Linked DNA regions of Cricetulus griseus. The protein of the gene in region 2 purifies or fractionates together with the protein of the main gene of each other region. This does not show direct contact. Links are inferred from orthologs where the notes say so. Each region holds a gene or a part of one and is shown on either strand. Other genes may lie near its edges.

Region 1 (8,132 bases), on a different chromosome or scaffold from region 2:
ATCTGTTTCTGTAATTAATTACCTTTAGTATTTTTCTTCAAGATTTAATTTAATTTTCCCTTAAGATTTATTATTTAATATACATGAATGTTTTGCGTACATGCATGGTGCCCATGAAAGCCAGGGAGGATGTTGGATTCCCTGGAACTGAAGTTATAGACAGTTGTGAGCTGCCATATGGGTTCTGGGAATCAGCCTGTATCCTGTGGAAGATCAGTCATTGCTTTTAATTGCTTAGTCATCTTTCTTTCTTTCTTTCTTTCTTTCTTTCTTTCTTTCTTTCTTTCTTTCTTTCTTTCTTTCAAAGATTTTATTTATTTAATTATTTGTACAACATTCTGCTTCCTTGTGTATATCTGCACACCAGAAGAGGGCACTAGATCTCATAACGGATGGTTGTGAGCCACCATGTGGTTGCTGGGAATTGAACTCAGGACCTCTGGAAGAGCAGTCAGTGCTCTTAACCTCTGAGCCATCTCTCCAGCCCGCTTAGTCATCTTTCTAACCTCAGGATTTAATTTTATTTATGTCTATGTGTGTATTTCTATGAATATAGTCCATGTGTGTATGGATGCCTGTGGAAGCCAAAAGATGGTATCATAGTTAAAGCTGGAGTTAAAGGCAGTCATGAGCTGCCCAGCATGGGTGCAGAGACATAAGTTACTGATTATTTTATTTCTTTTTAGCTAAATCAGTAAAGTTAAAAGAAGATCTACTCTCTCATACCACAGCTGAACTCAGCTGTGGGTTAGCCCATTTTGTCAATGAGATCCGACGCCCAAACGGAGAAAATTACGCACCTGACAGCATCTATTACCTCTGCCTTGGTATACAGGAGGTAAGTTTTTGAATATAATAAAAGTTATGGTAGAATTTTTCGATATATAGATTGCCTATGAAAATTTAAGCTTCATTTTCTAGAACTTTAAAATGTTTATGTAATTTATATGTGTATGTATGTATGCACATGTGTGTATGAATGTCCACAGAGGCCAGAGAAAGTATCAGATACCTTGGAGCCAGTGTTTATAGGTGTTTGTGAGTTTCATGATGTGGGTGCTGTATCTGAACTCTGATCTTCATTATTGAGCAGTGTTCTTGGGTGAGTCATTTCTCCAGTCTCAGGTTTCCGGAATTTCTGTTTGCTTACCAAGAAAGGTAGAATTTAATCTCTTTGGAAATATCTAGGGTATATAAAAGATACCTAGGGCACATAAAATATTTTCCTAGATATTTTGTATCAAGACAAAAACCAAAAAACAATTGACTTAGCTCAACTGTGTCCCCCCTTTTTTGTTTTTGTTTTTGTTTTTTTTTGTTTTGTTTTGTTTTTGTTTTTTAAAACAGGATCTCACTGTATATCCCTGGCTGACCTAAGACCCACAGAAACCCACCTCCCTCTGCCTCCTACATGCTGGAATTACCATATGCACCACCATGCCTAGCCTCATGCATCTTTTGTGAGGAGTCTTAAAAGTGTTGTCTGTTTGGGGATGACATCATTTTTTAGTAGTTGCAAGAAAATGAATTCATAGATGGTTAGCTTCAGAATTCCCTTTAGAGTTGCTCATGTTTCTATACAGGGTAAAAATATATGTACCTAGACCACACTAACAATGCTAAGTAACTTTATATGCCCTTTGTTTCATGAGACATGATTTTTGACCATGCAGATGTAAAGATCAACTATTTTTCTGTGTAAAACAGAGCCCTGGGGTTCAGTGGGAAAGGAGAGAAAGTTTTAGGCCTTTCTTGTTACTTTAATCCATATCTTTATTTTCATTGTGTTTTAGAGTCTATATAAAATTTTATTTTAAAGCACCTTCTAAACATATCCTAAAAATGAGCTTCTAGGTTTTTTGGTTGCTTGATTGGTTAGTTTTGAAGGTTTATTTGTTGTTTTTAATATTTTCATTCTTTGAGAATTTCATAGTCTATGCTGATAGATTTCTCTCTCTTTCAAGTCCCTAGCTAGCCTCTCTAGAGAGAAACTTGACATCATCCCAGAATTTATTCTAGGGTTTAACCTTTGAGTATTTTAGACGTAGGAATGTAGTAAGATTTTGTTTTAAAGCTTTGCACTATGTTTATAAATTTAAGAAAGAGTAGAGCAATGGCCCGTGTAGTTCTGTTGCTGGAGTTTCTTTCCAGCCTGGTCCAGTAGCCAATTAGCTCCAAATAAACACAGAAAGACTTATATTAATTTATAAACTGTTGCCAAAGGCTAGGGCTTCTTACTGGCTAGCTCTCTCTTAATTATTAACCCATAACTACTAATATATGTATTTCTACATGGCCTTATCTTACCAGAGAACCACTGGCACATCCCATCTCCCTGGTCTCTACATGGCATCTCTCTTGTGGCTTCACAATGTCTCCTCTTCTTTCCTCTCTTAGCTCTGCCTATACTTCCTGCCTATCATTTGGGGCTGACGGGCGGCAAGACCTGGTGGGACAGAAACCTCCAACTTCAAGTTCTATACAAATGAGTAGTTTTTAGTAACTGCTAATTAAATACAATCAACTTTTTTTTTATTCATGAGACTTTAAGACTGCAGCATTTATTAATACTATAAAATATGTGTAAATTTATGAAGCAAGCTTGAGTCTTGCTACTCCTTCATTTTAATATTTTCTGTTTACTGGACATTGATGTGTTTTAGAAATTGGCATACTCGTGTTGATAGATTTCATTAACTAATTGCTAACATTTGATTTTCTGTATACACATTCTAAGCATTGGATGTACCTACTCTTTATTTTTTGCCTTGTTCTGATGAAGAGAGATGCTATAAGTAGTAGCTTTTCTAAATTATGTAATTCGTAAGTTTTGAATCTGGACTGAGTATGGTTAGCATGGTATTTGTGGGGGCTGAGGCAGGTAGGCTTATGAATGTGAGGTCAGCCTGGGTGTTGCATTGTGAGTTCTTCGCTTGTCTGGGATACATAGCAAGACCCTGTCTCAAAAAAAACAAAAAAAACCAAAAAACAAAAAACCCCACAAAGACGACCCCCCCCAGAAAAAAAGAAAAAACAACAAAAGAAAAAATCAAATAGAATCTGTTCAGTTTGACTTAGAAAATCATTATAAACCAGGCATGGTACATGGTGCATGCTAACATCTGTGAGGCAGGGGGATTGTAAGTTTGAGGCAAGGGCCATGAGGGAGAATAGCAAGGGAGGCTACTATAATATGGTTTGCTCAAGGATTTGAAATATATGGTCCTCTACCCAAAGATTATCTGTAGAACAGTTTTGGGACAAGTATCTATCAATTCTATCCAATGGGGCAAGGATATAGCTCAGTTGATAAAGTGTTTGCAGCACAAGCTTGAGGTTCTGAATTTGGATCCATGTAAAAAGCCAAGTATTTGCTTATAATCCCAGTTCTAGGAAGGAGGAGATGGGGTTTCCTAGGGCTTCCTGGCCAGGTAGTATACCTGAATCATTGAGCTCCATGTTCAATGAGAGATTCTGTCTCATAAAACAAGTGGAGAAGCAATTAAGGAAGACATTCGGTGTTCACGTATGGCCTCCACATGCATGTGCATGCACATGTATGTTGCACAAACGTGTACACAGCATGAAAGACTTTAAATTGAATTTTTTTGAAATACAGATAGAAATTTTGTAGACAGAAAGGATGAAAGGAAATGGCATCCCTAGAAGACAGAGTCAGGCAGTTTCCCAGGAACCATGTTTAACATGGGTAGGTGTCAGGTATGAAGTATAAAGAGTGATGGTAAAGTCATACTATAAAGGACCTGAACTCTCCTATAAATTGTTTAGTTTTCAAGTGAAAATATTGTTCCTGTTTTGATTTCTGCTATCCTGGAAATAATGCCCGGGCCCTTGAGCACATTAGACAGGTGCTCCACCCTGGTTAGGTTCTCGGCATTTTCAAAAGCCCAACCAGAGGATTGGCAGAAGATTGGGAGAGCAGAGGCAGCCAGCTAGCTCCTCAATGTTTTCCTTTAATCATTAATTATTCTTTAAAATGATTATTTTTCTCCATGTGTGATATAAATTGAGGATTCTATATTGTGTCTGACAGACCACTGAGCGAGTGTGTGTGTATGTATGATGAAAGTTTGTGTATGCCACACTGAACAGATGGCAATCAGAGGACAATGTTGTAGAGTGGGTTCTGAGGTCCCTTGCATGTCATGCTTTTTGCATGGCAAATGCTTTACTTGTTAAACCATTTCTGTGGCCTAGACTAATGATTCTTATCCAGTGTTTATATTCAGGATTTTGTGTTATACTTTCCAGCTTTGCATGTTTTAAGCAACAGGTTAATTGGTAATTCATGCTTTTTCCATTGTACACACATACCCATGGCCAGTAATCTCTTGTGTTTATTAGAATCCTTGCTTTTCTTAAACATAAAACTTTTTCTTAAGAAATGAAAAGTACAATACATTGACTGCTTATAATTAGCTGGTTTTCCTCCAATAATTTTTTTTGTAGTACTTATGTGGTAGTAATCGAAAGGACAACATATTTATTGATCCAGGATACCAGATGTTTGAGCAAGAATTGAGTAAAATACTCCGAAGTTGGCAACCAAGCATCCTTCCAGATGGTAATTTTCTTTTTAATATGTGTTAATAGTTGCTAATGGAATTGTTGTTTTTATAGAAAGTATGTTAAGTATAGTTAGGTATGATTTAAATTAGAAAGTAAGAGCTTGTGCCCATGAGCTCATTTGCAAATAAATAGTCAGTAACTAATGCTTTTGAAGAACTTTGTAAAACAAGTGGCCTACTCTGAGGAAGAGTGCAAGGTTAGATATTTATGTCTTAAGACCAACAATATACAGATTCTGATGTGACGAAAATGTATTTGTTTCTGGGAAGCACATGTTGTTTTCAAGGATTATACATATTTTAAATTATTTTCTGATCATAACTTGTTTGTCCTACTGAAGGACAGAAGCTAGCATCCTGTACCTTATTCTGTGGATGGTGGTTCCATACACTGTTCCCCAACCTTTTATATTGTTAAAAGAGCTAATATGTAATTTTCAGGTTCATTCACATTGACCTAATGTGGAAAGTGGATTGGCATTGGGATGTTTTAAATTCACTTTTATTTCTACATGGTTAAATTTAAACTGTTGTATTTATAATTCTTTTAAAATAGTTCTCTCTATTTAAGGGTCAATATTCTCTCGGGTTGAAGAAGACTATCTCTGGAGGATAAAACAACTAGGATCACACTCTCCAGTAGCTCTTTTGAACACCCTGTTCTACTTTAACACTAAGTATTTTGGCCTGAAAACAGTGGAACAACACTTAAGACTTTCCTTTGGCACCGTGTTTAGGCATTGGAAAAAAAATCCTTTAACAATGGAAAACAAAGCATGTCTTCGTTACCAGGTGTCTTCCTTATGTGGAACAGACAATGAAGGTAGTATAATTTCTTTTAAAATCAAAATTTATCTTTATTTTCTGTGTGTTTTGCCTATACACCACATATATGCAGTGCCTCAGGGTGCCATAAGGGTGTCAGATCCCTTGGAACTGGAGGTATGAATGATTTTAAGACACCATACAGATTCTAGGAACTAAACCAAGGTCTTCTGCAAGAGCAGTAAGTGTTCTTAACCTCTGAGCCATCACTGGCCCTGGTATTATAGCATTTTTATTTAGAGATTGTTTGTGATGGGAATAGTCAAACTTTTTCTATCAAAGCCCACCTCAACCAGTCATTAAGAACCTAAAGACAATTGCTTTCATAAAACACAACAAAATGTGTTGTGATTCCCCCCTTTTCCTTCCTTCCTTCCTTCCTTCCTTCCTTCCTTCCTTCCTTCCTTCCTTCCTTCCTTCCTTCCTTCCTTTCTTTCTTTCTTTCTTTCTTTCTTTCTTTCTTTCTTTCTTTCTTTCCTTTATTTCTTGAGACATGGTCTTACCTGTGTATCTTTGGCTAGTCTGGAACTCCCTGTGTAGACCAAGATGGCCTCAAACTCCTAGATATCCTTCTGCCTCTGCCTTCAAACTGTATCTTAAAATGTCTTCGTTTCTTTTTGTTATTTGTTTTGAGATTGGAGTTCTAATTCAAACTGGCCTTAAACATTATATCAAAGAATGACCTTGGAACTGTGCAGTCCTCCTTCCTTTGCTGAGACTACCTGCATGAAACATTGCACCTGTTTTTATGCTTAGCTGATGTTCAAACTTGGGCATCAGGCATACTAGGCAAGCATTCTACCAGCTGCCAACTGAGCTGTATTCTTAGCCTCTCAGTTCCTTTTGTTGGAAAGATACACATTATCAAAACCTACCACACAGAAAACTCTGAAGAGAACCTAATCCAATGTTGATAAAACAGGTGCTATGGATGAATAGTAATTTCTTTCCTCAGAACTGGTTTTAGGGTGTTGGTAAGTAAAACCAGTGAGTGAAATCAGTTGTTGCACATGTCTGACCACTTGAATTGGAATTCTGGAGCCCACATAAAAAGCTAGATGCAGTAGGGTGCACCTGTAATCTCAGCACCCTATGGGGAGAAGAGAGGTAGATGGGAGAATCACCAGGAAGCTCATAGTCCAGCTAGCCTGGAGTATGCAGTTCAGAAGCAGAGAGAGCCTGCCTAGGATAGGTGGAAGACAAGAACTGACTTTCAAAACTCCTCTGACCTCATCTACGCTGTGGCACACTGTGCCCACATTCATACACATAACATACATACACATATACACAAGAAAGAAAAAACGATTGGTTTTAGGAAGCTTACTTTTGTTATTGTTGCTTTTTAAAGATAAAATTGCTACTGGAAAACGAAAACATGAAGATGATGAGCCAGTATTTGAACAAATTGAAAACACAGCCAACCCTTCTAGATGTCCTGTGAAAATGTTTGAATGCTACTTGTCTAAAAGGTGAACATTATTGATATTTGACTTTTATTTTGTAGTACTGGGGTATTGAACTGGTGGCTCTACCACTGATCTACATGCTCAGCCTGATACTTGACTTTTTAAGATGTTTGTATAAGTTGGTTGAATTGAACACTATTAAATGATGGTATTGTTGGGCAGTGATGGTGCACACCTTTAATCCCAGCACTCAGGAGGCAGAGGAAGAGGTCTCTGTGAGTTCAAGGCCAGCCTGGTCTCCAGAGAGAGCTCCAGGACAGCCAGGGCTACACAGTGAAACTCTGTCATGAAAAACCAATATAACACGCATGCACTAACGCACACCCCATTAAGAAGTGACATTTACCATTTTTTGAGATTTCTTTCTTTGTTTAAATGAAAGTTTATATTCCAAAGTTATATTCTACTTTAACTTTAGAGTCCTCTTGTGAAATACCAACCACATAGGCTTTAGGCTTCCCTCCGTGTTAAGCAGTTGCTCTATTAAAAGTATCACTCTGCTATTGTCTTTTATATTAGAGCAGTTCTGTTGCTTGCTAAGCAGGGACACAAACTTTCTATTTAGAGGTAACTATTTTAGGTTTTTGGGTATTTAGTCTCTATCTACTTGATTGTCTTACTACAACTAGAAGAGGCCATATATTGTATAATAGTAAGTTCACGGTACATGGCTTTATACAGGTTGCTGGCCACTGTTTGCCTAGTGCAAAGGTAGATGTCTTTCAAAGTAGGTACAATGGGTAGAGATGAAAATAAAATATTTATAGCCGGGCATTGGTGGCACACGCTTTTAGTCCCAGCACTCGGGAGGCAGAGACAGGCGATCTCTGTGAGTTCGAGGCTAGCCTGGTCTACAGAGCGAGTGCCAGGATAGGCTCCAAAGCTACACAGAGAAACCCTGTCTTGAAAAACCAAAAAAAAAAAAAAAAAAAAATCTAGATGTGAAAGAAAACAGTTTTTTGAAGACATTCTTTGGAAGGTCCTCCAGTTGCATGACTGCTGTCATCCTGTCTGGAATTAGCAGGCTTTGTTGAGTCAGTCCTCTGTCAGATGGTTTCATTTTGAGTGTTTTAAATAAGCACTCTGACTTTCAGAAAGTGCAGAGTTGGGTTTGTAAACAACTTCTCACATTGTAGTGTGGTTTCCAGGGTGGCTGTCAAGAACTTATAAAAGTATGAACTTTACCTTTAGCATGACCATGTTTGTAACAAGTGTAAGAGTAGGTTTCTTCTCTTCAGCTCTGTTCTGG
Region 2 (8,149 bases):
GTGTTCCTTGGCACCATCTCTAAATGGACTGCTCTGACTCAGACCACAGCCACTTGTGCCTCAAGCCCTCAGACCTACCATCACCATCATCATCTCCCTGTACTTTGGAGGGAGGGACAGTGCTCCAGGGCTACCCAGCCACATATCCTTGCTGTGAGGCCTTTGTTCTGCCTTTCAATGAGAAGCTGTTCTGTAGTATCGGTCTGTTTGGGTGCCACCTTTTCCTAGTGATCCAGTGGGGGTCTGCGCCATCTTGGCCTGAAGCTCTGTCTGAGGAGAGAGACTGAGCAAGGAGGAATGCATTGGAAGAGCTCGCCCTTACATCAGGGTCACAGATTTGGAGCAGAAGTCAAGTCCTAGTCTCTTGTAGAGTCCATGAGACGAGAACTGTTGCTTAAACCCTGGAAGGGTAGTCAAGCCCTGTGCCTAGCCAGTGCCGCTGTTTGAGGAGTCACAGCAGAAGAGTTAGGTACTCTCACCCATAATTGTGACAGATGATCAGACACCTTGGCAGCAGAAGGACCAAGCAGGAAGGGATCCAGCTAAGGGGGCAGGCTGTGATAGACCTAACAATGATGACTGGCAGAGGAAGGGAGGCCCATGGGCAGCCACTGGTGCAGAGATGCAATCATGACACCGATGAGTGTGCATATCAGAGAATGTGAGTTGGGTGCTTGGTTGAGAAGGTAGGGCCTGTTTGCCTAAGAGCAGAGCTGCCTGCAGAAGGTCTGGAGCAGCAGGCAGAAGCAGGCAATCAGATGGCCTGGCTTCCTAATATCTTTGTTGTGTCTCCAAGGCCTTCAAGACTGCATGAGCTAGGAGTTTGTGTCTGTACACCCCAGAGATGCCTGTGTCTTGCTAAACTGAGGCCAGCTGTAGCTGAAGCTTGAGTGCTGAGAAAGTTCCCCAGGATCACAACTCTCACTGGGCACTAATGGAAGATACTAGATGGCTCCTTCAAGCTGGATGCCAGCTTCCTAAAGGATTTGGCTTGTGTCTGTTCAGCTGATGATCCAACATGGAATGAACCCCTATGTAGACCCAGGGTTCTCAAACCTGGCTATGCACTGAGGAGTTTAAACAATTGCAGATTACTGGGTCCCACTCCCTCAGACTCTAATTGAATTGTTCCATGTGCAGCCTGGACTTTCAGAGCTTTTTATGCAACTCAGGCCTGGCCAAAATCAAGCACCACTGAATTGGGGGATTTAGTTGCACATGTAGGTGAGAGGAATGTTCATTTGTTTTAAAGAAAGTGACATTTACATAGAGGGTGTTATACATGAGGGACAAGACAGGCTGGCTCTTGCCTCTGGGAACAGGGAAGGAAAGAGCTTATAACCCATAGTGACACTTAGGTTCCGCCATCCCATCCCTTGGGCTCTCATCACTCCACAGTTTCTTGAAGTATTTTGCTCTTCCCTTTGCTGTTCTCACTCCTAGGCCAACCTCTATTTTCTCAGCTCTATTCCCTCTGTCTCCACATCCCCTTCTTCCACCAGCACCTGTCTGTCTGTCTGTCTTCTCCCTCCCCCTGTCCTCCTTCACACCCTATTCTGGTTTTTGGAATCAGATGGAGGAGTGAGGGCTGCAGATGTGACCAGAGGTTGCCTTGCTGAGCCAGGAGGAAAAGATTCTGGTGCCAGATGCTCTGTATGCCCTCCTGTAGGCTCTCCTCTTTAGAAATGTCTTGCTTAAGTGGTCCACTCCTGCAGGCTGGTTGGGAGTTAAGAGAAGAGGTGAATAGGGAGTTTATAGCTGCCTAGCTTAAGTACTGCAGTGTTCCTCTGCCTTAGTGCATGGCTGATCTCAGAGATGGGGGGCGGGGGGAGGCAGGGCTGTGTCTAGGCTAAAAGGTAGACCCAGCCTTTCCTCCGGTTACAGCACAGAGGAAGGGAAGGAGGCATCTTGTTAGTGAGACACCCACAGGTTCCCTCAGAGAAGGCAGACTTAGAAATGAGGCTTCCTGCCATGTGGTGTGAAGATGAAGGCGCTAACCGAAAAGTCCAGCTGTGTGGCACTCCAGGTGTCCTGCTCTGGAAGATTGCCTTTGAGGCATAAAGGAACATCACCAGAAGGAGATGGGAGTCATTGCCAGGAGTCAGGTAGAAGCGCCTGGGGCCACAAAGGGGCTTTTGAAGTAATGTTTGAAGCTAGAAGAAGACCAAGGAAGATGAAGCCCGTGTGTCATGCCAGTGGCAGCAGAATCGACTGGGCTAGTGAGCCGGCTCTTCAAAGGCTGGCAAGAGTGAACATTCCCAGATCAGGGAAGGACAAGGCCAGGGTGGCTCAGCTCTGCCCCCAAGTCCACTTGTGAGGATAGACACATACAGACAGAAACCCTTCTCAGATACCTCTAGCTTGTGTCAAGTTAACAAAACAACAACCAAGACAGCACTTATGCTTTCTCTCAAGCCAGAGGCATTAGCTGGAGGCCACAGCGAATAGAGGTCTCAGCCCCAGGTGATAACTCCATTGACAACCAGAGCAGTCTGTAAGAAGACAGACCAGGGCCGTCTCTCGGCTCTGTCCCAGCAGTTCCCCATCTGTCCCATTTGGCCCTGTCTAATGTCCAAAAGTGACATGCATAGGATATTCACAAGCTGTGCTGTTAAGTGACTATGTATTATCCTCAGACACTCTAACCTGTCTGTAGCTCCAGGTCCTTGAGAAAATCTCAGAGGTAGAGAGAGCCCTTCCCATCCTTGAGGCCTAGGGCCTTTGAAATGGTGTTCCAGCCAGGACAACCTTGCCACTGCGCTGGAGAGCCAAGCCTTTTTGCAAGCCTGGGGTGGGTTCCTGAGCTCCAAGGCTCCTCAGTGCAGCTGAGGTATGGATGTGGAGAGCTGAAATCTCCAGGATCTGAGGCTCCGAGCTGCTCCCACCCAGACCCTCTCCCAACCAGGGAATGCATGTCCACCAAGATGTGGACGTCAAGAGGCCAAGTAGCCCTTCCTTTCCCTAAACTGAAAGACACCATGGGTCAATCTGGTTTTGAGGGCTAGGAAAGCCAGGCTCCTGCCCCTTCCAAAGAATCGCTTGGGGCTGTGGATGAGACTCCTATCTCGTTCTCATCTGTGCCATTTGTTTCTTCTGAGTCTGCTCAGAGAGGAAAAATTTGGAGCAGATACCTCAGTCCTTGCATACCTGAGGCATTGGCCCCTTCCCTGAGCCTCCGCAAGCAGGCACAACTTGCCCCACCCCACCCTACCCCATCTCACACTTCACATACTTGTGCCAACACTGTCCATAGATTCATACCCCTCACACGTGCATCCCACGTACACATCTGTACACACACCCATGCTCACCTGTATGGTCTTGCCCTTTCACACCTCCCTCTCTAAGGAGTGTGACCCAGTTCACACCTGCACACGCATCCCCTCTACTCTACCCTCTGGTGCACACAGATGCTCTTACTGTGCCAGCTTAGTAACATTCCTACATCTTCCTGTATGTGTGCACACTTGCTCTAGAGTGCAGGGTCATCTCACCTGGTCCTTCGGGCCTCTGAACTCCTGACCTATTGGCTTTTTTGTGTTGCAGTCCTCCCTCGAGCTGGAAGACAGCAGCAGTGAATCCAGTGACCTCCAGCTGGAGGGCCCCAATTTCCTCAAGGCATCGGACGAGAGCCTCGCTGACCCCCAAGCGGAAGACAGGGCCCTGGTTTTCTTTGACCTCAAGATTGACAGTGAAAGTGGGTTCCCCAAGAGCTACACCATCTCTTTTACATCATCTCTTTTTTTATCTTAGTCTCTGAGTCCTCAGGAAAAGTGCAGTTAGAGACACCTGGAAGGCTCCAGCCAGCCCTTAGCACTGACAGGCTGTGGCAGCCAGGTAGACAGAGGACTCTGACCCCACCTAGGATATCTGATGTTGCCATATCTGCCTAAGTGGAACGTGGGTATGGGAGGGAGATATGTAATGCCATCGGTTCACGTCTGACAAGACCTTCTCTATACAGAGAGTCTGGGAACAGTGTGTGAGCTCATTGCTGACAAGTAATCCACACTTGACCTTTGGCTACAATCACACATTTCCCCAAACAGGGCCCAGCCCACAAAGGGATACACAGGGAGGCTTGCAGAACCTAGATCTCAGGGAGTTGTGACTCCTCCTCTTAGAAGCCCCCTGTCTTCCTCGCTGTCATCCTTGCCCAGCCCCTCAGCTCTGACCCTTTGTCCTGGCTAACAGTTGTGGGCCCTGCCATTGTGGCTGGCCTACCAGACAGAAGCATCAGGTATTTGCATAGCACACATCTGTAGGCTTCAGGGGGAGACTCTGGGCCATGCCCTTAGGGGGTACACAGGCCATTTCTGTTGTCTTCAGTCCTGGGCTGGTACTGATGGGGTTGGAGGTAGGAGTAGGATTATAGAAGGCCCAGAAGAAACCCTCTGGGGTCTCTGGTGGAGGTGGAGGCTGAGAAAATACAAAAAGGGCAGAGTTCTTAGGATTGAGCAAACTCTAGGAGGGCAGGAGGGATAGGGAAAACCACCTTGCCGACAAGTGAGCCCCCGACCCGTCCCATCAAAGCTAGGCAAGAACTACATTGGTTCAAGAACTATTTGGTTCCTGCCAGCAGGCCTCAAGGTGGGCTCTCTAGATAGTGGGTGAGCAGCCTGGCCCCTTGCACCCAGTGCCTCCTAAACCCTGGAGCCTTACCCTGCCCTTCTTTCCTGCCTAGCCCAGAAAATTAGCCAACTGGCAGCTGTGAACCAGGAAAGCAAGTTCCGAGTACTCATCGAGCCGGAGACCTTCAGTGTCTACTCTAAGGCAGTCTCCCTGGAGGTCGGACTGCAGCACTTCCTCAACTTTCTCACCTCCATGCAGCGCCCCATCTTGGCCTGCTCTAAGCTGTGGGGGCCTGGGCTCCCCATTTTCTTCAAGGCCCTGGATGATATTAACAAGCTGTGGGAATTCCAGGGTGCCATCTACGGCTTCTTGGCTGTGTTGCCTCTCATTCAGGAACGCATACCCGGTGCCAGCAGCTTCAAACTCAGGAACCTGGCCAAGACCTACCTGGCGAGAAACATGAGTGAACGGAGTGCCCTGGCTGCTGTGCTGGCCATGCGAGACTTGTGCTGCCTCCTTGAGGTCTCCCCAGGGCCACAGCTGGTCCAGCATGTCTACCCCTTCAGTAACTTACAGTGCTTCTCTTCCCTGCAGCCCCTAGTTCAGGCTAGTGTCCTGCCCCCGGCCGAGGCCCGCCTCTTGGCCCTCCACAATGTGAGCTTTCTAGAACTGCTGACTGCATACCGCAGCAACCAGCAAGAGGGTTTGAAGAGGTATGGCCGCTATCTGAGCCCGCAGACCTCTTCCTCATCGGCTTCCACCCAACTTGCTCAATACCTTCAGGCTCTGAACACCTACATGGAAGAACTGTCAGAAGGGTGTGCCCCAGCCAGGTCAGAAGGTAACTCTACTCTCTCTGGCCAGAGCTTGGCCAAAGAGGCCTCCGAGCAGAGCTGACAGAAAGGGATATCTGGCTTAGCCGGTAGCCACAGAGGGAGGGGCATCCTTGAGCCAGGCCCCACCCTTCACCACATTCCCAGGCCCTGCTCTCCAACACAGAGCTGTTCTTTAGTTCGGAATAGGTGCCCTTTATCTGGGACCAAACACTCTTTCTCTAAAATTCCTGCAGCAGACATCAAAGGCACCCCAGACCTAAGTCCTTCCTCTAGAAGACAGAATTAGGAAGACTTTACAAGGTGTGGCCTCTGGGCTCTCTGATTGGCCCTCATATGGCCCCAGGCACCTCACCTACAACTACCACGGGGGGCCTTGCAGCTCCTCCCTGATGCTCAATCAAAATGTCCCAAGTGATCTGCTGGTAGCTCCCACGAATAACACCCTCAGGCAGAGGTCCTCAACCTGCAGGTTGTGACCATTGGAGAACTCACATTTCTGGTGGTCTTAGGAACCCCCAGCCATAGCTGTAACCTTGCTGCTGAGCAGTGTCTCAATTGCTAAGATAATCAGAAATAAGTGTTTTCTATGGTCATGGCCCACAAGGTGAGAACCACTGCTCTAAGACAATGCTTACCACTATACCAGCAACCCCCTGGGCACCCAAAGTGCCTCTCAAACCAAATTGCCCTTCATGAATTTGGGTTCTCCCAGCTTCCACTGCCCAGAGACCAACTGTGCTCATGAAAAAAAAAAAAAACACTTCCATTCCAAAGGGGCCTTCTAGCATCAGAGAGCTAGAAGCTGTTGCTCCATCCATATCCCCGTTTCTACAGACTGACACTTCCAACTTTGTTCTTTGTTCATCAGGCCTTCTAACCCCCCTTGCACTCAGCCCTTTCAAGGGACACCCAGTAGGACACTTGCATCGAGACCTTTGGGAAGGTGGCTTTACCGAGGTCCCCAGAATCAGGCTGTCTGGAGTAGAGCCTGCAGCATTAACAGGTTCTCCGGGCAACGCTGTCTGCTCAGTTCTGAGCATCACTGCTGTCACAGACCACCTCCCCATCAAAGGGAAGTAGAGAAAACACCTGGCTGTGTACACTGAATATGATTAGGCCAGAGCTCTAGTGTTCTGTGAAATGAGCTGGCTGGCCTGCATTTTTATCTCAGAGTCCCCAGCCAGTTCTGTCATCCTGGTCTCTCAGTGTGGACAGCAGCTTGCTGGCGCAGCAGATAAGACCCTACCTCTCATGCCAAGCCACTGGTCCCCAACCTTATGATCATCTTGAACGTCAGCTTCCCTATGCTTATCTGAACTGTTGCTGGTGTTGTCCACCTCCTCACCCATTCCCTGCTTCCTGCTTCAAGGAATTTCCCAGATAGCCCAGAGGTCCGGTCTTGATAGGTTTGGTGGTCTCCACTTTCAAGTGAGCGATGCCTGCCCACACCTCTGACCCGTCCTGATGTTTGAAGGCATCCTGTAGAAGCCCATTTCTACCATGGTGAGACTGAGCTCTGACAGCAATCCATTAGAGCTCTGGTTCTGGGTGGGGCTGAGGATGTCGAGGAAAAGAGGCTAAGACCCTCGCCTGGCTATACAGGCAAGGCAGTGCTGGAGCCATGTCTCATACTGAGTCCCAGCCCCACCAGGCTGGCTGTCTTCAGTTTCAGCTGCTGCAGATTTATGACAAAGGGAGGAAAGAAGCCCTGTCCTGTCTGATGTTGCAGCCCTTATATGTGAATTTTTTTATTTTGGTTTTTTAAGGCAGGGTTTCTCCATGTAGCCCTGGCTGCCCTGGAACTCACTCTGTAGACCAGGCTAGCCTCAAACTCAGAGATCCACCTGCCCCTACCTCCCAAGTGCTGGGATTAAAGGTGTGCGCCACCACCAACAGGCTTATTCAGTAACATCATCATTATACCCACTGCCCAGGTGCCCAAGTCCCACTCTGGAGCTTTAATCTCTTAGTTTGACCTTTGACCAAAAATATCAAAGTTTAAATATGCTGTGTGTGCCATTTTCTTAAAAAAAAATTCTGTCAAGATTTATCCCACTACCACCAGCAACCATCAAAACCTTATTGGACTACAAGTTAGGGCACTGGAATTCAGTTCTTGGTAGCCAGTGGCCACAATGTGGCTGTTAACTCCCTGATTACAGGCAGCTCCTTTGAAAGTGAGATAAGGTGTATTGTATTTTACTTCATGAGGTCTTTGATAAGCTCAATGAGAAGATCAGTTTCCTGATCTTAAGGTCTTATTTCACAAACAAGATGAGAGTTAGCACTTTATAAGAAAGCCAACAGCAAATCTTAGCAAAATAGTAATATTAATACACACTATGTTGGGGCAGAGTGCCTAGGCCTGCAGGAGCCGATAAGAGTCTTGTAGCCTCTGAGCAATAGTTGACTCTGTGTTCCTTCCACACCCACTGGGAGAAGGACCTGGAGTAGAGAGCAGGCTTCCTGGAGCCCCTTGGCTCATCTCTATCCCAGCCCCTCTTTGGGAACCAAAGACTAACTAGCTCAGGCCCTTGTGAATGTTCCTTGAAAGTTTCCTTTAGCCCAGCCCCAGCCATGTTTCTCCAATCTGCACAACACCCAAATGCTACCCAGGTGCCTGCCGTTCTGCAACCCTGGGCCCTACTCCATCCACCTTCAAAATCTAACCTCTCAGCAGATCTCCTAAATGTTGAGTCTTCCTGCCCACCACATACCAGGTTTGTCCAGCTCTGAATTCA
Region 3 (8,149 bases), on a different chromosome or scaffold from region 2:
GAGCAATGAGTGCTTTAAACTGCTGAGCCTCTCCAGTCACCTTTCTGTTTTTTGAGATAGGATCTCAACAAGTTATCCAGGCTGACATTGAACTCACTCATGGTCTAGGCAGGCCTGGAAATGTGATCCTGCTGTCTTGGTGTCCCAAGTAACTGAGATTATAGTCCTGTAACACCAGGTCCAATGGAGGACCATTGCTGTAAAGCTTATTTTTATGAGCTCTTGGGAATTGGTACTGAAGTGGGAGATTCCATGAGGTCGTGATACATTCAGGATATAAGCTTAATACAGGCAAATTCCAGGTCTGTGAGATAAACTTACTACTCGGTGTAAAACAATGGTCCTTAAGGTATTTTATTTATTTTAAATAGCTGGTAATTTTTTGTTTTGGGGGTTTTTGTTTGTTTGGTTGGTTTGGTTTTTGGAGACAGGCATTCTCTGTGACTTTGGAGACTGTCCTGGAACTAGCTCCTGTAGACCAGGCTGGTCTCGAACTCACAGAGATCCACCTGCCTCTGCCTCCCAAGTGCTGGGACTAAAGGTGATAGTTATTTTTGCAATTTATTTTACTTTATTCTTAGCTCTTTTTCTTTTAAGATAGTGTTTCCTGTATCTCTCCCTGACTTCAAACTTGCTATGTAGCAAAAGATGACCTTAAACTTCTGATCCTCCCAGATTCTGGGATTACAGACATGTAAGCCAATTTATGTTGTGCTGTGGTTATAGTTTAGGACTTCCTGAATGCTAGGCAAGCACTCTTGTGTGTTGTATACCAACCAAGCTGTATTCTAAGCCCTCACCACTTCCTTCTGATTATAACAAAACTGCCCTTTGCATCACAAAGCCCAAATTTACACTGGAGATGTAGTTCAGTTGTAAAGCACTTATCTAGATGAGGAGGACCCAAAGTCTACTGTATGCTAACTGCTTTTTAGCTATGTGACATTGTATAAGCTAATGTCTCTGAGACTGAATGTTGTATATACAATTTGAGAGAAAACGTCAGGACTTCTGAAGATTCTCTTAGAATAATGTATATGAATACCAGATGTTTTATAATTATGAATTATAACTATAATTCATCTTTATTTTATTTTTTAGCCAACATGTTAAGGATACCTGTAAAAAGGGCCATAATAGCCCTTTCTAAGTCTGCTAAAGGATATGGTAAGTTCTTTTGTTTGTTTGTTTGTTTTTTTTATTTTATTTTATTTATTATGTATACAGTCTTCTGCCTGCATGCCAGCAGAGGGCACCAGATCTCATTCAAGGTGGTTGTGAGCCACCATGTGATTGTCAGGAATTGAACTCAGGACCTCTAGAAGAACAGTCAGTGCTCTTAACTGCTGAGCCATATATATATATATATGTTCATGAGTATTAGACTTACCTTTGTCAGTTCCATGGTCTATCAGATATTTTTGAGCCCATAATTTACATTAAATAAGAGTAGAAACAATTGACCCAAGTTGACAAAAAAATTTTCAAAATAAACAAAAAACACATAATAGAAAATACTAGAAACTACATTCTGTTTCAAAACCAAAAACAGTGGTCATTTGGTTTTGATAAAGCAATATTAAAGTCTCATCTTTTTGGGTGAGGGGTTCGAGACAGGGTTTCTCTGTGTAGCTTTGGAGCCTATCCTGGCACTCGCTCTGTAGACCAGGCTGGCCTTAAACTCACAAAGATCTCCCAAGTGATGGGATTAAAGGCATGTGCCACCAAGGCCTTAAAGTCTCATCTTAAACTACTATTAAAAATAGATGTCTAAGCCCTGGTGTTGGTGGCACACATGTTTAATCCTAGCACTCAGAAGGCAGAGGCAGGTATTGAGTTCCCCACCAGCCAGGGTTACCTGGAAAAAGGGCCTTGTTAGGCTTTTCTAAGTCTAAAGATATATGTTTGATAGAATTGAATTGAAAAACTTTTTGTGCTGCTTTAGTACTTTTAGAAGTTTGCATCTTGAGGAAGAGGACTAGCAAAAATGAAAATTTTTATGCATGGTTAATCCAGTAGCTTCTGCTGTAATGAGTTAAGCTCTGTTAATTTGTTTTTCATTTTTGTTTTGATGATCAGTTCGAACAACTGCCACAGCAGCAAGTAACTTGATTGAAGTATTTGTTGATGGTCAGTCTGTCATGGTGGAACCAGGAACTACTGTCTTGCAGGTATGCATATGTTGTAATTATTTTTGTGACGGTATGTTCTCTGATTTTTGTTCAAAAATTATTTACTTCATACTGTTTAGTTTAAAAACAAAGCAAAACATTCAGTAGCAGGCAGTGGTGGGGCACACCGTTAATCCCACCATTTGAGAGGCAGAGGTAGGAGGATTTCTAAGAGTCTGAGGCCATCCTGGTCTACAGAGCGAGTTCCAAGAGGGCCAGAGCTGTACAGAGGAACCCTGTCTCAAAAAAACAAAAAAAAAAACCAAAAAACAAAAGGGAAGTCCAGGCATGAAGCCACTGGGACAGTTTGACCGGGAAGCTTGTGGACAATGGCTCAAAGCAGATAATGGGAGAAAAGACTTCACCACAGACTGTGGGTACTTTACCTAATTTCTTACACATAAAATGAGGAAACTTTGAGGATGCTTGTGTCCTTTGAGGCAGCTTCAGAGCTGACGGTTTGGGAATCAAAGTAAAGAGTGAAATCTCTTCAGGAACATATGGAGTAGTGGGTGAAAGTAGAGGTATTTAGGGATGTTAGTAATAAAGGACCCCACCCCACTCACACCCACCTTCTGTTTCAGTGAGGACAAGCACAAAGTCAGGGTCTTTTTTTAAATATTTAATTTATTAATTTATTTATTATGTACAGTGTTTTGTCTACATGTACACTTGCATTCCAGAAGACAGTACCAGATCTCATTATCGATGGTTGTGAGCCACCATGTGGTTGCTGGGAATTGAACTCAGGACCTCTGGAAGAGCAGTCAGTGCTCTTAACCTCAGAGCCATCTCTCCAACCCAAGCGAAGATTTTTGTTTGTTTTTTGAAACAGAGTTTCTCTATGTAACAGTCCTAGCTTTCCTGGCACTCACTCTGTAGACCAGGTTGGCCTCAAACTCACAGAGATCTGCCTGCCTTTGCCTCCAAAGTTCTGGGATTAAAGGTATGAGCCACCACTGCCCAGCTGTGAAGATCTTCTAATGCAAAGTTTTGTCTTCTAGGCTTGCGAGAAGGTTGGCATTCAGATCCCTCGGTTCTGTTACCATGAAAGGTTGTCTGTTGCTGGGAACTGCAGGATGTGCCTGGTGGAAATTGAGAAAGCTCCAAAGGTACATGATGCCTGGAATTCCATATCATGCAATAGGAGGGAGAAAACTTTAAATCTTGCAGCAAACTTTTCTGTAACATCAATACTATTATAAATTCAATGTTTTTTTGTATATAGATGATTCATTTCAAAGTGAAATACATTGATGGAAGTGTTGTATAAACATTAAGGCCATATAACAAGTCTAGGAATTCAAGGTGGTTTTGGTTTTGGTTTTTGGTTTTGTTTGTTTGTTTGTTTTTTATTTTGTTTTTTGCTTTTTAGAGACAGGGTTTCTCTGTGTAGCCCTGGCTGCCCTAGAACTCACTCTGTAGGCCATGCTGGTCTCGAACTCACAGAGATCTGCCTGCCTCTGCCTCCTGAGTGCTGGGATTAAAGACATGCCCCGCAGCTGCCATGAGGCCTCCAGGTATGAGTATGTTAAGACTCATGGTGCAGATGTAGCATGTGGAAGTGCTTATTCTGTGCCGTTTTCACTTGGCCAAGTTGTAGAGAAGTTGACTTTAGTTATGTAAATGCACTTTGGTGTATACAGCTGTAAGTCAGCAATGCCTCAAATGAAAACAAGGCTGGGGTGTGTGTGAGTGTGTGTGTGCACGTGCGCTCGCAAAAGGACAACTTCACGTGTCATTCCTCAGGGATCCTCCGTCTTGTTTTTAGACAGGTTTCTCTGGTTAGGATAAAGCGGTAAGCCCCAGGGATGTGCTTGTCTTTGCCTCCCCAATGCTGAGGCACCACTATGCCCAGCTTTTTTTATATTGGTTTTAGGGATCAAACTTAAATTCCTAACACAGCAAGCACTTTACTGACCAAGCTAGCTCCTTAAATCCTAGGACTCTTTTCTTGGTTTTTGTTACTGTTGTTCTTTGTTTGTTTGCTTTTTTAATTTAAAAGATAAGTATTCATTTAATTAGTAGGAAATGAGGTCTGGGGTACGTGTCTTGATGCACATGTGGAAGCCAGAGAACAGTTTACAGGAGTCTGAATCTTTCTACCGTGTGGGTCCTGGGGATTGAACTCTCAGGTCACCAAGTATGAAAGTGCCTTTACTCACTGAGCCGTCTCACTGATCCTTGGTTTCATTTTTTTGAGACAAAGTCTCTCTACATAGTTCAGGATGACCTCAAATTTAATATCTAGCACACGCTAATGTTAAACTATTTTTAAAATTTTATTATATTTAGTGTATATATTTGTGTGCTTGCTTTCATGCATGCCTGAGTGTATATTATATGCATACTGCTGCACATGTACATCTGTCAAGCTTGGCAGCAAGTGCCATTACCCACTAGTCTCCTCAATGCTAATATAGACATGAGCTGCCATGCCTTTTTTTAATCATGTATGTGCGCATGATATGTATGCATGTGACATGAAATGTGGAGATTAGGGGACAACTTGTCAGATCACCCTTCTCTTTTATGTAGGTGCCAGGGTTGACATAGTAAGTAACTTTACACACTGAGCCATCTTGTCTACCTGTTCCTGGTTTTTGAGGCACAGAAATGGTGATCAGGATGGGTGTGATAGTGCACACCTTTAATACCAGCACACAGGGCAGAGGCGGGCAGACCTGCCAGTGGGAACCTAGCCTGATCTACATAGTGAGTTCCAGGTCAGCCGGACTACACAGTAAGACCCTGTCTTTACATTTTTTTAAGTAAGAACAAATTAAAGACAGACAGACAGACCAGGAAAAAGTTTAAAAAGTAAGAGCCAAGCATAATGGTGCACACCTTTAATCCCAGCACTTAGAAGGCAGAGGTAGTTGAATCTCTGAGTTTGAGGACAGCCTGGTCTACATAGAGAGCCAGGTGGAGAAACCCTATCTCAAAAAAAAAAAAAAAGAAAAGAAAAAGAAAAAAATGATTTGAGGGCATGATAAAATGCTGCTTTGACTAATAAAAAATCCTTAAGGACTACTAATATATCTTAGCCTCTTTGGGGTTGCTATAACAAAATATCCAAGACTGGATACTTTATGAAGAGGTTTATTTAGCTCATAGTTTTGGAGTCTGAAAGCCCCAAATCAAGCAACTACATTTGGTAGACATGTGATTGTTGTATAATATGACAGAAGGAAAAGCAAGAGGGCCCACCCCCCTTATTTGGCAATAACCCACTTCTCGTGAGAGCTAATCTACTCTAAGACCTAGTCACTGAGATACCAGTATTACTCTCCCATGTCCCAGTTGCCTCCCACTTGACACTGCTTCTCATAAGTCTTTGTAGATTGGGGACAAACCATAGCAATGCCTTATTTATTTTTTAAGATTAACATGAAGGGGACTGGGTGGTGGTGGTAGGTGGACCTCTGTGACTTCGAGGCCAGCCTGGTTTATAAAGCAATTTCCAGGACAGCCAAGGTTGTTACACAGAGAAACCCTGTCTCAGGGGGGAAAAAATAACATGAAGGTTCAGATTATCTTATGGTTATAAAAATACCTGGAAAAAAAGTTTGTTGTCTTTTAGAGAAGGTCCCACTATAAATAAAACCCTGGCTAGACTTGGCTAGCCTCACACTTACAGCCTCTACCTCTTGAGTGCTGAGGTTATAGGCATACACCACTATACCTAGCTGAAAACTAAAATCTATTTTGAAAAATAAATCTCTGCTTTTTTTTTTTTTTTTTTTTTTTAGTCTTTGAGACAGATCTCAGGCTATCATGCAACTCATTGTATGTCCCAGGGTTTTGTTTACTTTTTAATGTTTTGTATGTAGCATTGCTTATGACTACAAATAAATACAAATATGGATTTCTCCATTGAAATTCTAGGTTGTAGCTGCTTGTGCTATGCCTGTTATGAAGGGCTGGAATATCCTGACTAACTCGGAAAAATCTAAGAAAGCCAGGTATGTTGTTACTGCTGTAGAATTGTCAGGAGGTATTTATGCCTCCCATAGATGAGGGATTTAGTGTCAGCCTTTGGAGAACAGCAGAAATGAGTACACAGTAGAGGAGGTCAGCTCAAGTAGTCAAGATACTGCTTGGAATAGTGTCAGCGTTGAAAATTCACCTCGTGATGAGTAGTACCCAGGGCTTGCTGAGCTGAGTTCATGATACATTGGCTCTGGTGCTCAGTGTGTTTCTGAAGCTTGTGGTAAAGCTATAGAACTGATACAGGTGAGTGCTTTGCCATAGTGCTGTATGTAATTCCAGCCCCATCTTCATTTTAAATTAATGTTGAAGCTGGGTGGTGGTGTTGCACATGTTTAATCCCAGCACTTGGGAGGCAGAAGCAGGCAGATCTCTGTGATTTCGACTCCAGCCTGGTCTGCAGAGCAATACAGAGAAACCCTGTCTCAAAAAACAACAACAACAAAATTAATGTTGATATTTTCTGAGAACCTTTCAGTAATTTCAACAGAATTTGTTTTGGAGATGCTCTCATGTAGCACAGGATGGTCTCACACTCATGAGGCTGAAGGTGACCTTGAGAGTCTGGTTCCCCTTCCTTAGTACCAGGATTACAGGCATAGGACACCATGCCTCAGTAATGCAGTAGTGGAGTTGAATTCAAGGCTCCATGCATGCTAGGTGATCATTCTACCAGTTAAGCTACACCCTACCCCTAGCGATGTTTGAGAGTTCTGTATTGTTAAAAGTCATCATTTAAAAAAATACATAGCTGGGCCGTTGTGGCGCTCGCCTTTAATCCCAGCATTCGGGAGGCAGAGGCAGGCGGATCTCTGTGAGTTCGAGGCCAGCCTAGTCTACAAGAGCTAGCTAGTTCCAGGACAGCCTCCAAAGCCACAGAGAAACCCTGTCTTGAAAAAAAAAAAAGTAAAAAAAAAACATTTATTTTATTTTCTGTGCATTGGTATCTTGCCTGTATGCATGTCTGTATAAGGGTGCCAGATCCCCTGGAACTGGAGTTACGGACAGTTGTGAGCTGCCATGTAGGTGCTGGGAATTGAACTTGGATCCTCTGAAAGAGCAACCACTGCTCTTAATCACTGAGCCATCTCTCCAGCCCAAAAGTCATAATTTTAAAATATGAGCATAATAGCACATGCCTATAGTTTCAGCAATTGGGAGATTGATGCTACATGGGCTACATAGCAAGACCCTGTCTTTAAAAAAATAAAAAATGCTGATGATGGTGGCATATACCTGTATTTCCATCATTTGGAAGGTATAGGCAGGAAAATCAGAATGCAAGGACATCCTTGACTACATTGTGAGTTGGAGGCCAGTCTCAAATAAGTGAATAAACAAAGCCCTGAAAGTCAATTTCTTAGGATCAGTATTTTAGTTGAAACTCTATGAACATGTTCAAACTGTGTTTAATACTAGCTGAATACTAGTATGGTACCATGTCTGGAAGTCAATGTAAAATTTACGCTAACTGTAAAAAAATACCTTTGAAGGTTATGGAGGTAGTCTAAAGGAAAGGTCGCCATTTTTTAGTGGTAGCTGCTTACGTTACTTTATATATTCAATTTTTCATACAGAGAAGGTGTGATGGAGTTCTTATTAGCAAATCACCCATTGGACTGTCCTATTTGTGACCAGGGAGGTGAATGTGATCTGCAGGTATCTAGAACAATTCTGTTAATCTTTTTGATTGATTCATTTTAATTTCATTAGCAGCATTAGATTGACTGTCTCGTAATCTACTTAAGGACCAGTCCATGATGTTTGGAAGCGATAGGAGCCGGTTTCTAGAGGGGAAACGTGCTGTGGAGGACAAGAACATTGGACCATTGGTAAAGACTATCATGACTAGATGTATACAGTGTACTCGATGCATCAGGTAATGTTTCTCTTCAGGAATATCACTGGGTACTAACTTATTTTCATTGAATAATAACACTTGAAATGATAGCCATTATTTAGTGGGGAAAGTTAGATTTTGTTTTTCT

What was found. The genes of interacting proteins can lie anywhere in the genome.
Region 1: the proteins of Pml (region 2) and Zmym2 purify together in Homo sapiens (affinity purification with western blotting; 3 studies listed by BioGRID, with this or other methods). This does not show direct contact. The link is inferred for Cricetulus griseus from reciprocal best matches to the Homo sapiens genes PML and ZMYM2.
Region 3: the proteins of Pml (region 2) and Ndufs1 purify together in Homo sapiens (affinity purification with mass spectrometry; 3 studies listed by BioGRID and IntAct, counting the BioPlex papers as one, with this or other methods). This does not show direct contact. The link is inferred for Cricetulus griseus from reciprocal best matches to the Homo sapiens genes PML and NDUFS1.

What each region holds. Positions count from the first base shown.
Region 1 is NW_023276807.1:212,010,597-212,018,728, forward strand, and holds part of Zmym2 (zinc finger MYM-type protein 2), read left to right. Parts: intron 1-686; coding exon 687-838; intron 839-4,470; coding exon 4,471-4,585; intron 4,586-5,145; coding exon of another isoform or gene 5,146-5,159; exon of another isoform or gene 5,160-5,160; coding exon 5,161-5,412; intron 5,413-6,765; coding exon 6,766-6,886; intron 6,887-8,132. UniProt on the Homo sapiens protein: Involved in the negative regulation of transcription.
Region 2 is NC_048597.1:169,821,130-169,829,278, reverse strand, and holds the end of Pml (protein PML), read left to right. Parts: intron 1-3,546; coding exon 3,547-3,697; intron 3,698-4,684; coding exon 4,685-5,469; 3' UTR 5,470-7,416; downstream 7,417-8,149.
Region 3 is NC_048595.1:417,270,277-417,278,425, reverse strand, and holds part of Ndufs1 (NADH-ubiquinone oxidoreductase 75 kDa subunit, mitochondrial), read left to right. Parts: intron 1-1,101; 5' UTR 1,102-1,106; coding exon 1,107-1,167; intron 1,168-2,079; coding exon 2,080-2,171; intron 2,172-3,175; coding exon 3,176-3,283; intron 3,284-6,059; coding exon 6,060-6,136; intron 6,137-7,738; coding exon 7,739-7,820; intron 7,821-7,909; coding exon 7,910-8,040; intron 8,041-8,149.